Mus musculus: one gene and its partners. The protein of the gene in region 3 interacts with the protein of the main gene of each other region in a pairwise test. Links are inferred from orthologs where the notes say so. Each region holds a gene or a part of one and is shown on either strand. Other genes may lie near its edges.

Region 1 (3,748 bases), on a different chromosome or scaffold from region 3:
CCTCTTCTCAATTATATAGTCTCCTTAATTTTCTAAAAGTCTCAACAAAATTTAAAACAATTTTTTTCTTTTTCTTTAAATGTGATTCTTTGCAGCAGTTTGTTTCTCTATAAGGACAGTCTAAAAACTATCCCCATCAAAGAGGCTGGCCCAACTCTTTGTCACCATTGGACCTGACTTTGTGGCTCTATTTTCTGCCATTATTGCTATGGTATCCTACAGGTATTTAAAGTTCAGGGCTCAAACAAGCAAGACCTCTTTCTCTCAGTAATTACGGTTTTCCCCCGTGGACTTCCAGCTGAAAGACCCACCATCTGTCCTCTATCACGTGTGCAGGTAAAACAGCGTTCTTTATTAGCAGAAAACCCCTCCTGAGTGATCAGTGCTCTGCCAAATGGCAACAAGAGAAAAGCAGCTGGGACACCTAGTGAAATGGAGGAATTAACCAACAACTCCTAGAAAACCTTCTGAAAGCAGTACTTTACATTCTGAAGAGCCATGCACCCAACAGCACGAAAAACACTTTTTTCTTTAAAAAAAGATTTATTTATTATATGTAAGTACACTGTAGCTGTCTTCAGACACTCCAGAAGAGGGAGTCAGATCTTGTTAGAGATGGTTGTGAGCCACTATGTGGTTGCTGGGATTTGAACTTCAGACCTTCGGAAGAGCAGTCGGGTGCTCTTACCCACTGAGCCATTTCACCAGCCCCCGAAAAACACTTTTAAACACTGAATTTTTACATATTACCTCTATTAAAGACCTTCATTAGAATTGTGGCTAAATGATTCATCATTTAAAATTTTAAAATTACCTCAGTGTTCCTCTAAGGAGTCCATAGTTTATAATGACGTCTGCACCCTCTTTGTACCCTTGATTGAAGCCCCGTTGAAGAGTAAGTGCTTTGCCGGCATCTAGCCCATCTCTGTAACCCTCCTAAAAAGAAGAAAAAACCCAGTTGTAACTGACACCAAGTGAGTCTTCTCAGGAAAAGCACTGAACCAATTTTGAAGACAAATTTAGGTTTGTACTATATTAACTGAATTATGATATGGCAGAGACATAAATCCAAAGCAGAATGTTTCTCCTAAAATCTTATTATTGGTTCATCTTTCCTTGTCAGATCTGTCTTATTTTTTTAAAATGTTTTCCAGGCTGGCCTGGAGCTCCTTATCCTACCTTCCTCACTCTCCTAATCGATGACAGGCAGATGCCTCGATGCCACACGGGGAAGTCACTTTGGAAATCTAGGGTTACTGTGCAAACATTAAATATCAGTTGTTATGTTTTTTTTAAAAACTGTGTTAGCAAGGTCTTCACAGAAATGGGAAACTACATGTCTGGTCTCTTGGTAACGGACTAGAATAGGATAGATAAGGAGGCTGGCAAGGCCTGGGAAGAGGGAACTATTTTAGGAACAGTGAAGAGGAAGTCTGATTTTAGAAATCTAATCTAAACTGTGGCATAGAGATTTGTCTTATTATTATTATTAGTTTAGCCCTGGATTCCTATGGTATTTTTGTAATGATATGATGGTTGCTGGGCTCAACAAATATGAACTTACTGGAACATTAAATTAGGGTTGACATAACTGCAGCTTTAAGAGGGTAATTTAATGGCTAGTATATTGGGTGGATGCAGTTCTTATCTTTTAAACAGTTAAGTAACATATATTTACTTATTTTTCTTGAGGGAGGCATTTATTTACTTCCTTGAGCGTGAAGGTCAGAAAATAACTTCCAGAAACCCATTCTGTCCTTCCACAAAGTACGTTCCAGGGATCGAACGCAGGTCTTTATACTCTGGAATCCACCCCCATGTGGAGACAGATCTTAGCAAGTAGTTCTCACCCAGAAAAAGCGCCGATTCTACCCAAATAGTACTAAGCAAGTTTCAATGAATGGCAAGACAGGTCCGGATTGAATAACGCATTTAAAGTAAAGCTGGAACAGTATTCCCTTCTCTACCTCCCCCTTACCTTCCCTTGACAACATTCTCAGTTCACCCTTCTCCAAGCCTTGATAACATCACGCCTAACTTTGGACTCTCTGTGACTGCGTTCTCTGCGGGCCATCAGCCTAGTGGGTGTGCATTTCTCCTCCTCTGCTCCCCCGACCCCAAACTGCACACTCTTGAGGGACTGAATAAAGTTCACGTTGTAGAGTAGGGTCAATGTCCCTGCTCCAAACCCGGTGGGGCTCCGAAAGAGCACCAAGAAACAACCAGGATTCTTAAGACCCGGCAACACTGGAGCGCGCTGGCTCGGAGACCCGCGCTCCTCCGCCCAGGCTTCTGCGTGCGTGCCCCTGCCAGGGAGCCCCCGGGTCCCGCCTGGGAGTCCCTTTCTCCCGCGTCCCGTCCATTTACTTGGACTCGTTTCCGCATGTGACCCTGCCATTCCCGCTGCGCTAACAGAGACTCGTCCGCTTCCTCGTCAAACACGTCCTGGTCTCCAGGGCTCGCGTTCTCCGGAGCCGCTCGAAACCAAGACATCGCCCGGAACACCACGAGTCCCGGAGCCGCCGGAAACCCGGGCAAGTGCTTCCGGTTCGGGGGGCGGGACGAAAGGACAAGGCGTGGGACGGAGGGGCGTGTGCGGCTCCCCTTGCGGCTTGGAGGCTAAGGGTTGGGTCTCTTCCTACGCCTCTGGGATGGGCAGCGTGGGGCTAGCTGGGTGCTGCAAGCTAAGTCCCACCATTCAAGGGCTGAGATTCAGTTTCTGCAAGTGCTGAAGGCATTGGACGCCCACGTGCAGCCAAGAACTTTAGAATGTGAAAGCTGATTCTAGGATCGGTTTGAGATTAAGTAATGGGAACACTTTTGTAAAACCAGCGTCCATTGGCAATTTCCCTCTTAGCCTTTGACTAGGAGAGTTAAGGAATGTGGCTCAAGCATTTAGCAACTTCTGGCTGGGAGTTCATGTTGAAGAACTGCACATCAGTAGCGTTCTTGTTTTGTCATGTGATAACTGAATTTTTCTGACAATTTGTTTTGAATACCTATTTCGCATCACTCATCATTTTGGGACAGCGCACTATAGGAATAAAAGTTCTCAGTCCCAATGGACTTCCTATTAGTGTAGAAACGGCCAGTTAGCCAACAATACTTATAAGTAACTCATAGTTTGAAGACTGTAAGTGATATGAAAAAAGTAATCATTGTGAGGGAAGAGGAAACAGGTTACTGTTTTAGTTTATTTTACATTTTTGTCCTGAAGGCAAAAGTTTTGCCAATAAGGAATATATGCTCTGTCAATAAGTTATCCCCTACACAAAGTTATTACTTTTTATCTTCAGAGAGAATTTTGTATCCTATAAATGTATGTATAAAACCAAATATAAAATGTGATAAGGTGTATGTATATAGAGATCTTAATTAGAAGCAAAATGGCAGTATAGGAAGCCATAGAAATAGTGATTGAAATGAGTAAGATAGAAAACTTCTGTGAGTTGGCTCAGTGGGTAAAGTCCCAGGAACGGTGTCAATCACCAGGACCCACGTGATGGAAGGAGAGATTAAACTCCTACAAATTGTCCTCTGACCTACACACACACACACACACACACACACACACCATATGAAAACAAATGCAATAAAAAAAATCCAACTCAACCCTTGCATGATAAACCCTAAAGGACAGGGTCTGAAGAGATGGCTCAGCAATTACAAACACTTGCTGCTCTTCTGGGGGATGTTAACTTGGTTCTGGGCATCTACATACAATTGGGTGATGGCTCACAACCACCTG
Region 2 (3,748 bases), on a different chromosome or scaffold from region 3:
AGCATTGTGTTCCCGAGACACAGGACACACCATAGGTTAACAATTGTTTCCACTCTTACAGATAGGTACTTTGTTTACAAGTCTACCAACCACCACCACACAGCACTAACTGGAAGTTTTATTCAAAATTTCCCCATATGTATATATAACCTTATTTAAAATCAACTCTGGTTTTAAAGAGTGATCTAAGGGTTTGAGATGTGTAATGCAAAATTTTCCCCAGCAAGGACAAGGTTCTAAGTTCAATACCCAGTACAACCCATGGAAGACTTGGACGTAACTAAAAAAAAGGTTGACTACTATTGTGAAAAAGTTTTCTGAAGTAAATGACAAACGTAATCCTGGCTATAAATAAAAATGTCCTCCATTGATGACTTATGCTAGTTTACAGGCAAGATCATAAATTGGCTTTGTGATGAAAATTGAATAATTTAAAATCATGCTTCATGTTTTGACCATTTTTTGAGTTCATCTATGTGATGTGTTTTATTTACTCAACTTATTCATGTACTTCTGTGAATTACAGTCATAAAGGAGGTAAATTTTAGTAGTTTAAATAACACTATCTAGTGTCCCTAACACAGAAATTAAATGTCTTATTCAACTATGTAATGTCAAGAAGCTTAATCCGCTCAGTACTTCTGCCCAAGTGATGTTTTCTAACACTCCAGACTATGCTTCCAAATATATTAATAGAACTCTTCCCTTTTATAAATCTACTAGGAACTGGATGTTTTACTCTAAGCCTTCATTGAAAGACACCACCACCCCCAAAAAACTTCAAACCTAACACAATCTAATGAGAAACAATTCCTTTCATGAGCACGTGGCATTGAGAGGCACTTTAACATAATACCAATTTTAAAGATTCACAGGTTATTCTATATGTACTCGCTATTGATTTTTCACTTTTTTAGCCCCTAATTGCTTTGCCTTTTCATCCACAATAAGCCAGTAATGGAGAAGAATGCTAAAATCAAAACAACTATGAAACTTCTAGTGCCCTTGAAGAGACCATTAGCCGCCAATGAAGACCCGACCACGCTTTACGCACGTGCGGAGGAAAAGCTGCAGCCTGAGTTCTGCTGCCGGGACATGACAGGCTGGGCACTCATTTCGCCCACGAGGCCCAGAACAAGCAAAGCCCTATGACCTGGGGGCTCCAGGGAGTTAGTTGGAAGAAGAGATGGAGACATGAGATGGGTTCCACTAATGACCAGTTTTTTATTCGGAACTCCCTCTAAAATGAGTGGGGCTAAATTCTTCTCCTCTCCAACACTTTAGTTCTCGCCAGTAAGTTACAGGAACTTCTTCTAACGTAAGAGCGAAAGGGCACAACACAAAACACACACGTGGGACCCAAACAGCAACTCCTCCCTCCCTCCACTCTAACAGGGACCCCCAAACGGAGACGCAGCCCAAGTGGAAACTCTGAGCCCGGGCCTTTCCTTGAGGGTCCGCGCCATTGTGGGACAAGATGGCAGGGCAGGAGCCCACAGCAGGCAGCGGCAGCCAGGAGCCCGCCGGGCAGGAAGCAATGCCCGCGCTGCTTCCCGAGCGCCTAGAGCCAGGAGGCTAGCGCCCGGCAGGAATCGGCGGGAACGCCCGGGCCGCCCTCTCGGAGCACGCTCCGTCCGCCCGAGGCGGGAAGGAAGGCTCCCGCCGAGCCTGCGAGCGAGCAAGCGACCGAGAGAGCGGCGTGGACTTGGGACCAGCCACGTTCCCCGCACCGTGAAGGGGCTCCGAGGGCTCTGCGGCCCCGCCGCCTGCACGAGCAAGCGGCGGCGCACGCCCCCGTCCTGCCCGCCAGCCCGGGCTCCCCACCGCCTCGCCCGGCTTTACCTTCTTTCTTAAGCGCCACCGGCGGCTGCGTCTCCTCCTTTTTGTCGGCCACGCCGACGCTGGGGGGCAGCGGGTTCTTGCGGTCTTTCTGGGACTCTTTACGCAACTGTTTGCCCGCCGCGTTGGAGTTGGTCTGGGCCGCGGCCTGAGCCGCGCTCTTGGCCCCGGGGCCCCCAACGCCGCCCCCGCCGGCTTCTTTTTTCTTGTTCTCTGCTGCCTTCAGTACCTCGAAAGGGTCCGATTCGTCGTCAAATAGCTGGTCGAATCGGTTGGTGACCACGCAGCCGAAGCCTTCCTGTAGGTGCCCAGGCATGATGGTGGCTCGGCGGCGCGTTCCTCCACGGATTGCAGCGGACCGCGCCGAGCCAAAAGCGCCTGCTTCAGCTCTTCCCACAAGATGGCCGGGCCGAGAGAGGGGGGCCGCCTTCTCTTCCGGCGCCAAGCACACATCCGGGAGCGGCCTGCGCCGCACGGCACCATGGGGCCTGTAGGCCACAACTGATTAGCCCGGGATGGCTGTCTACTCCTGAACTTCAACTCCCAGCGTGCACTGCGCAGCAACTCTTCGCGCGCGCCTGAGAGGCGGGATCTCAAGGAAAGTGTGCAGCGTGCTCGCTGAAGGTGGGGAAGCGAGTACGGGGCGGAGTTCTGCCACCTGCTCTTGTCACCCTTAAACTCTCGGTCTTTAGATACCTCTGAGAACAGGAAAACGTGAGGGCGTCTTCTGCTCACGAAAGTGTTCTCTGTCTTTGGTTTCACTCATTCTGTCTCCGGCCAGGACTTTCCCCACCTTTCTGGGAGGGTCAAGGTGACTCCCAGACCTAGTAACTGGAGCCTCAAAAACTTCCGGGGGGTGGGGGGTGCCACAGTAGCCTCCGGTAGGTTGCGACCGCACGGCTGCTCGTCCCTGACTGTTGGATTTCTAGAGCTGTCCCTCCACCCTTCGTAACGAATCAAGGCAATTCGGTTTAATGTGGAACGGAGTTCCAGGGTTGAATCTGCGTGGCAGAAGGAATCCAAAAGAGGAGTTGAACTAATTGGGTTGCGCGCCTTTTCCGGTCATTGCAACCATGCTTTAAGAGCTGTTAAGTCCTGACTGCACAACTGCACGCTCGGCCATCCTCTAAAACAGTGTTTGTGGAAACGCTTTCTAGAATCAACGCGATAAATTGATCTGTCGGTATCTGGTCAGCGGTGTTAGTAAAATGTGCTCCAGAGCCTGGGGTGGTGGCGCATGCCTTTAATCTGAACACTTAGGAGGCAGAGTTCAAGGCTAACCAGGTCTACAGAGCAAGTTCCAGGACCGCAGGGATTTCATAAGAAAAAACCCTGTCTCCAGCTCCCCAAATGTGCTCAAGAGGAAATGTTTTATAGTACATTGGGTATTATGTGTGAAGGGAGGAAACTAATTTCGTAATTATATGCTAACTCTGACATTAGTTGGGAACCTTAAATCCCACTAAGACAATCCAGTGCCAATACACACTATAATTTTAAATCTTTTCCATTGATACATTATGTAATAGAAAACATACCTCAGGCAGCAGGTGCTACGAATGTTTCATCCTCACATCCTTTTAGATAAATAACTATCCCTTTCTCACAGGGATGAAACTGTCAGAATTGATAAAACTTACTAAGGTCACACTTAAGTGCTAGTGGCAATCTTCTAGCTGCACTATGAGACTGTTGACATCAATTCTGTAAACCAAGTTCTGTCCTGATAGAAATTACAACAAGTGCTGAAATTCCAATAACTAATCAAGTTTAAACAACCCTTTGAATCCGTCTCCTGGATCAACAGAATGAAAGGCAAAATGGGATTCCCATAGTAGTTTTCTGATCTCTACACTCATACTGTGGTACATTCACACTCAAACACACATAAATAAATAACAGATAAAAG
Region 3 (3,648 bases):
AGGTCAGATGGATTCATGGGGATTTAACCATCTAGGGACTACAGAGGGATCCATGAGCACTCAGGGCTCACTGTTTAGAGTAGCTATGGCAGGAGTCACAGTGGTAAAGTATGTGTACCAAAGGCTAAAGATGGCTCAGGATGTATGACCCAGAGTCTCCAGTAGGACCAAGGACAGGGAGGAGGTGGAGAAATGTCCAAGAGGAAGACGCCAAGTGGAGAGGGCCCAGTATGGTTACTGATTACCATCGAATCCTCTCTGCCCCTCACAGACAACCAGTCAGAGTACTCAGTGGGGTCCGAGGAAGAGGATGAAGACTTTGATGAGCGTCCTGAAGGTGGCGTCTTTCTTGACTTTCTGTCTCTATTCTCTCACTTCACTTTCTAGCTTTCTTTAAGCACACTATTTTTTTTAAAAGATTTATTTTTATTTTTACTGTGTATTTTTTTACCTGTATGTATATCTGTATACTACCTGTGTGCCTGATACCTGCAGAGGCTAAAAGAGGGTGTCAGATCCACCAAAACTGGAGCTACAGATGGTTGTGAGCCACTATATGGGCGCTGGAAATTGGACCCTGGGCTCTTAACTGCTGAGCCATCTCTCTAACCCCTGCGCCCCCTATTTTTATGCAATAAAAATACTTTGGTTTTGGGTGGGAACATGGGTAGCACACACTTTTAATATCAACACGGAAAGCAGGAGGACTGTGAGTGTGAGGTGTTCTCACTACACAGGCAGCCTGTGCCTAGAAAGGAAATAAAGCCCCTTGGGTAGGAAAATTGAAGCTCACACACAGGGAGAAAGCAAAGGCCATGATCTCTCCATTGTTGAATTTGGAGTGGATAGCCCAGCTACCAGGAAGGTCAGACAGGATCGCTCAAGTCCAGGGGTTGGCGTCTTGACCAACACAACCTCGCCTGATGGTATAAACACACACACACACACACACACACACACACACACACAGAGAGAGAGGCAGAGAGAGAGAGAGAGAGAGAGAGAGAGAGAGAGAGAAACAGGAAGATTAGGTTATCTCACTTTCTCATGAGTAACATTGTCTGTCAAGTATTTGTTATTAGTTTTTAAATATGGCTTCTCTTAGCCTTAGTAGGTAGTAGTACTGAGAACATGCTTGAAAGAAAATTAGAGGTGAACGTGACACAGGCTAGCCCTGTGTATTGTGTACTATGGGGATGGATATAAGGAAGATGAAGGGCTTAGAGGAGGGGGCGTCTCCACTAATCAGTGTCACCCTTACCCTTAGGCCGTCGACAGTCAAAGAGGCAGCTTCGAAATGAGAAGGACAAGCCACTGCCTCCATTGCTGGCTCGGGTTGGGGGCAACATTGAAGTGAGACTTTGGCCTGGGCACTTTGCATGATCTCTAGGGAGAAGATGGTGGAGAGGGTGGTGGTACATTGGGAACCGAGGCTGGGCCACCAGCAGTAGAGAGGGACTTCAGGCTCCTAGTCATTCGTGGCCCCGCCTCTCTCCCCCACCCCCCTTCAGGTACTGGGATTCAATACTCGACAACGGAAGGCCTTCCTTAACGCTGTGATGCGCTGGGGGATGCCACCCCAGGACGCGTTCACCACACAGTGGCTAGTGAGAGACCTGAGGGGCAAAACGGAGAAGGAGTTTAAGTGAGTGTGGGGGACTTGGGGGTGAATTGAATTGGGGCTCAGAGCTTTGGACCTTCCTTCCTTCCTCTCGGCTACCATGTGATGTGACCTTACTCAGCTGATCACCGCCTCCCTACCTTATGTCATTACCAGGCTCTATTTCCTGGGAGGTGGGCTTAGCCTACCCCACTTCCCCTCAGCAGAGCCTAGAGTAAAGGGGCCAGGCCTCCTCCCCTATGGGAGAGAGAGGTGTTTGAAGAAGGGGCCTCACCCGGGCCGGCCTGGCTTCACATTTACCTGGCCATGATAACCTGGCAGGAGGAGCTGGTGAACAGGATGAAATGCTGACTGATGGGGCCTTGGAGCAAAGAGCTGAGTCCCAGGAGGTGCAGTGGGGGCTGATGGGGCCAGTGAGCAAGTCAGGATGCGAGGGAGAGGCCCAGGGCTGGACTCTTGGAAGCACCTGGGAGTTGAAGCTCGGGGGTCAGTGAGCTCTGCATCTTGTGCATCTGAACTCCTCCTGAGTCCTTGCAACCCTCCTCTTACCCCTGTGCCTTTCAGGGCCTATGTGTCTTTGTTCATGCGCCATCTGTGTGAGCCTGGGGCAGATGGCTCCGAAACGTTTGCGGATGGGGTCCCTCGGGAGGGGCTGAGTCGCCAGCAGGTGTTGACCCGCATTGGAGTCATGTCTCTCGTCAAGAAGAAGGTATTGGTCCTTCCTCATTGGAGCATCAGGCCAACTGTTCAGTCACTCACTGTCTTTCCTCTCTGAGCCCTGGCCAGGCTGGTGTGAGAGAGGAAACTAGAGCTTCCTACATGGCCAGTGCCAGGAACTGATCCTGGTCCCTGAACTTCCCCAGGTCCAAGAGTTTGAGCATATCAATGGACGCTGGTCAATGCCAGAGCTGATGCCTGACCCCAGTGCTGAGTCCAAGCGCTCTTCCAGAGCCTCCTCTCCAACCAAAACATCTCCCACCACTCCTGAGGCTTCTACAACCAACAGTCCTTGTACCTCTAAGCCTGGTAATTGGGAGTCTGGATTGGGGTGGGAGAGGCAAGCAGTGGTGGCCAGATGTCAGGGTGGAAAAATCTCTGCTTTCCCCTCTTACTAGGCTGTTTGTGTGATTATAGTGAGATGCATGAAGTTGGACAGCTTTATAGAGGAAATGGGTTTATTTGGGTTCATGGTTTTAGAGGTTCCAGGTCAGCAGCTGCATCTGGGGGGTGACTTTCTTGCTTGCAGAGTCCTTGCTTGCATTGTCACATGGTGAAATGCAGAGAGCATGCATGTAGATCCTCCCCTCTCTCTTCTTAAGAGCCACCAGGCTTCAACTATGGGGTCTCGCCCCATGACCTTATCTAGCCCTGGTTATCTTCTTTAAGCCCCACCTGTGAGCACTGAGGTTGGATTCCGTTCCTGCCAGTTTATTACTTTACCCTGGGCGTTAAGTTTCAACATGTGACCCTTTAGAGAGTACTTAGGTCACAGCCAAACCATAGCACTGCGCCTTCACTCACAGCTACTCCAGCTCCAAGTGAGAAGGGAGATGGTGTGAGGACACCGCTGGACAAGGATGACACTGAGAACCAGGAAGAGAAGCCAGAGAAGAACAGCAAAGTGGGGGAAAAGATGGAGGCAGAGGTGTGTGCACACCTGGTTCTCTCTGAGGAGATGGAGTGGAAAGTCTGGAGGGATCTTGGCATCAGGGTGCCTAGGAACTCTCTAGCTCACCTTGACTCTTCTGTCCTCCACCAGGTCGATTCTCCCAGCCCAGCCCCATCACTGGGAGAACGGCTAGAACACAGGAAAATTCTCTTAGAGGATGAAGCACCAGGGGTACCTGGAGAGACAGAGCCTGAACCTGGATACAGAGGAGACAGGGAGAAGTCTGGTGGGTGTATTATACCACTGATGATGGGGATTTGAGTTTTGGGGTTCCCTCTTCTGCACTTGGGGTGAGAGTAACAGCCTCTCTTCATATCTTCTGACTCTTCCCACAGCCTCAGAGCCAACACCAGGAGAA

The links.
Region 1: the proteins of Chd3 (region 3) and Yae1d1 interact in a two-hybrid assay, tested with the Homo sapiens proteins (2 studies listed by BioGRID and IntAct). The link is inferred for Mus musculus from reciprocal best matches to the Homo sapiens genes CHD3 and YAE1.
Region 2: the proteins of Chd3 (region 3) and Serbp1 interact in binary tests that used the Homo sapiens proteins (3 or more experiments, as listed by UniProt). The link is inferred for Mus musculus from reciprocal best matches to the Homo sapiens genes CHD3 and SERBP1.

What each region holds. Positions count from the first base shown.
Region 1 is NC_000079.6:17,990,814-17,994,561, forward strand, and holds the start of Yae1d1 (protein YAE1 homolog), read right to left. Parts: upstream 2,539-3,748; 5' UTR 2,494-2,538; coding exon 2,368-2,493; intron 937-2,367; coding exon 815-936; intron 1-814. UniProt on the Homo sapiens protein: The complex LTO1:YAE1 functions as a target specific adapter that probably recruits apo-ABCE1 to the cytosolic iron-sulfur protein assembly (CIA) complex machinery. May be required for biogenesis of the large ribosomal subunit and initiation of translation.
Region 2 is NC_000072.6:67,265,504-67,269,251, reverse strand, and holds the start of Serbp1 (plasminogen activator inhibitor 1 RNA-binding protein), read right to left. Parts: upstream 2,274-3,748; 5' UTR 2,156-2,273; coding exon 1,843-2,155; intron 1-1,842. UniProt on the Homo sapiens protein: Ribosome-binding protein that promotes ribosome hibernation, a process during which ribosomes are stabilized in an inactive state and preserved from proteasomal degradation.
Region 3 is NC_000077.6:69,348,789-69,352,436, reverse strand, and holds part of Chd3 (chromodomain-helicase-DNA-binding protein 3), read left to right. Parts: intron 1-271; coding exon 272-337; intron 338-1,267; coding exon 1,268-1,353; intron 1,354-1,511; coding exon 1,512-1,645; intron 1,646-1,775; exon of another isoform or gene 1,776-1,919; intron 1,920-2,185; coding exon 2,186-2,330; intron 2,331-2,484; coding exon 2,485-2,647; intron 2,648-3,144; coding exon 3,145-3,266; intron 3,267-3,380; coding exon 3,381-3,516; intron 3,517-3,625; coding exon 3,626-3,648.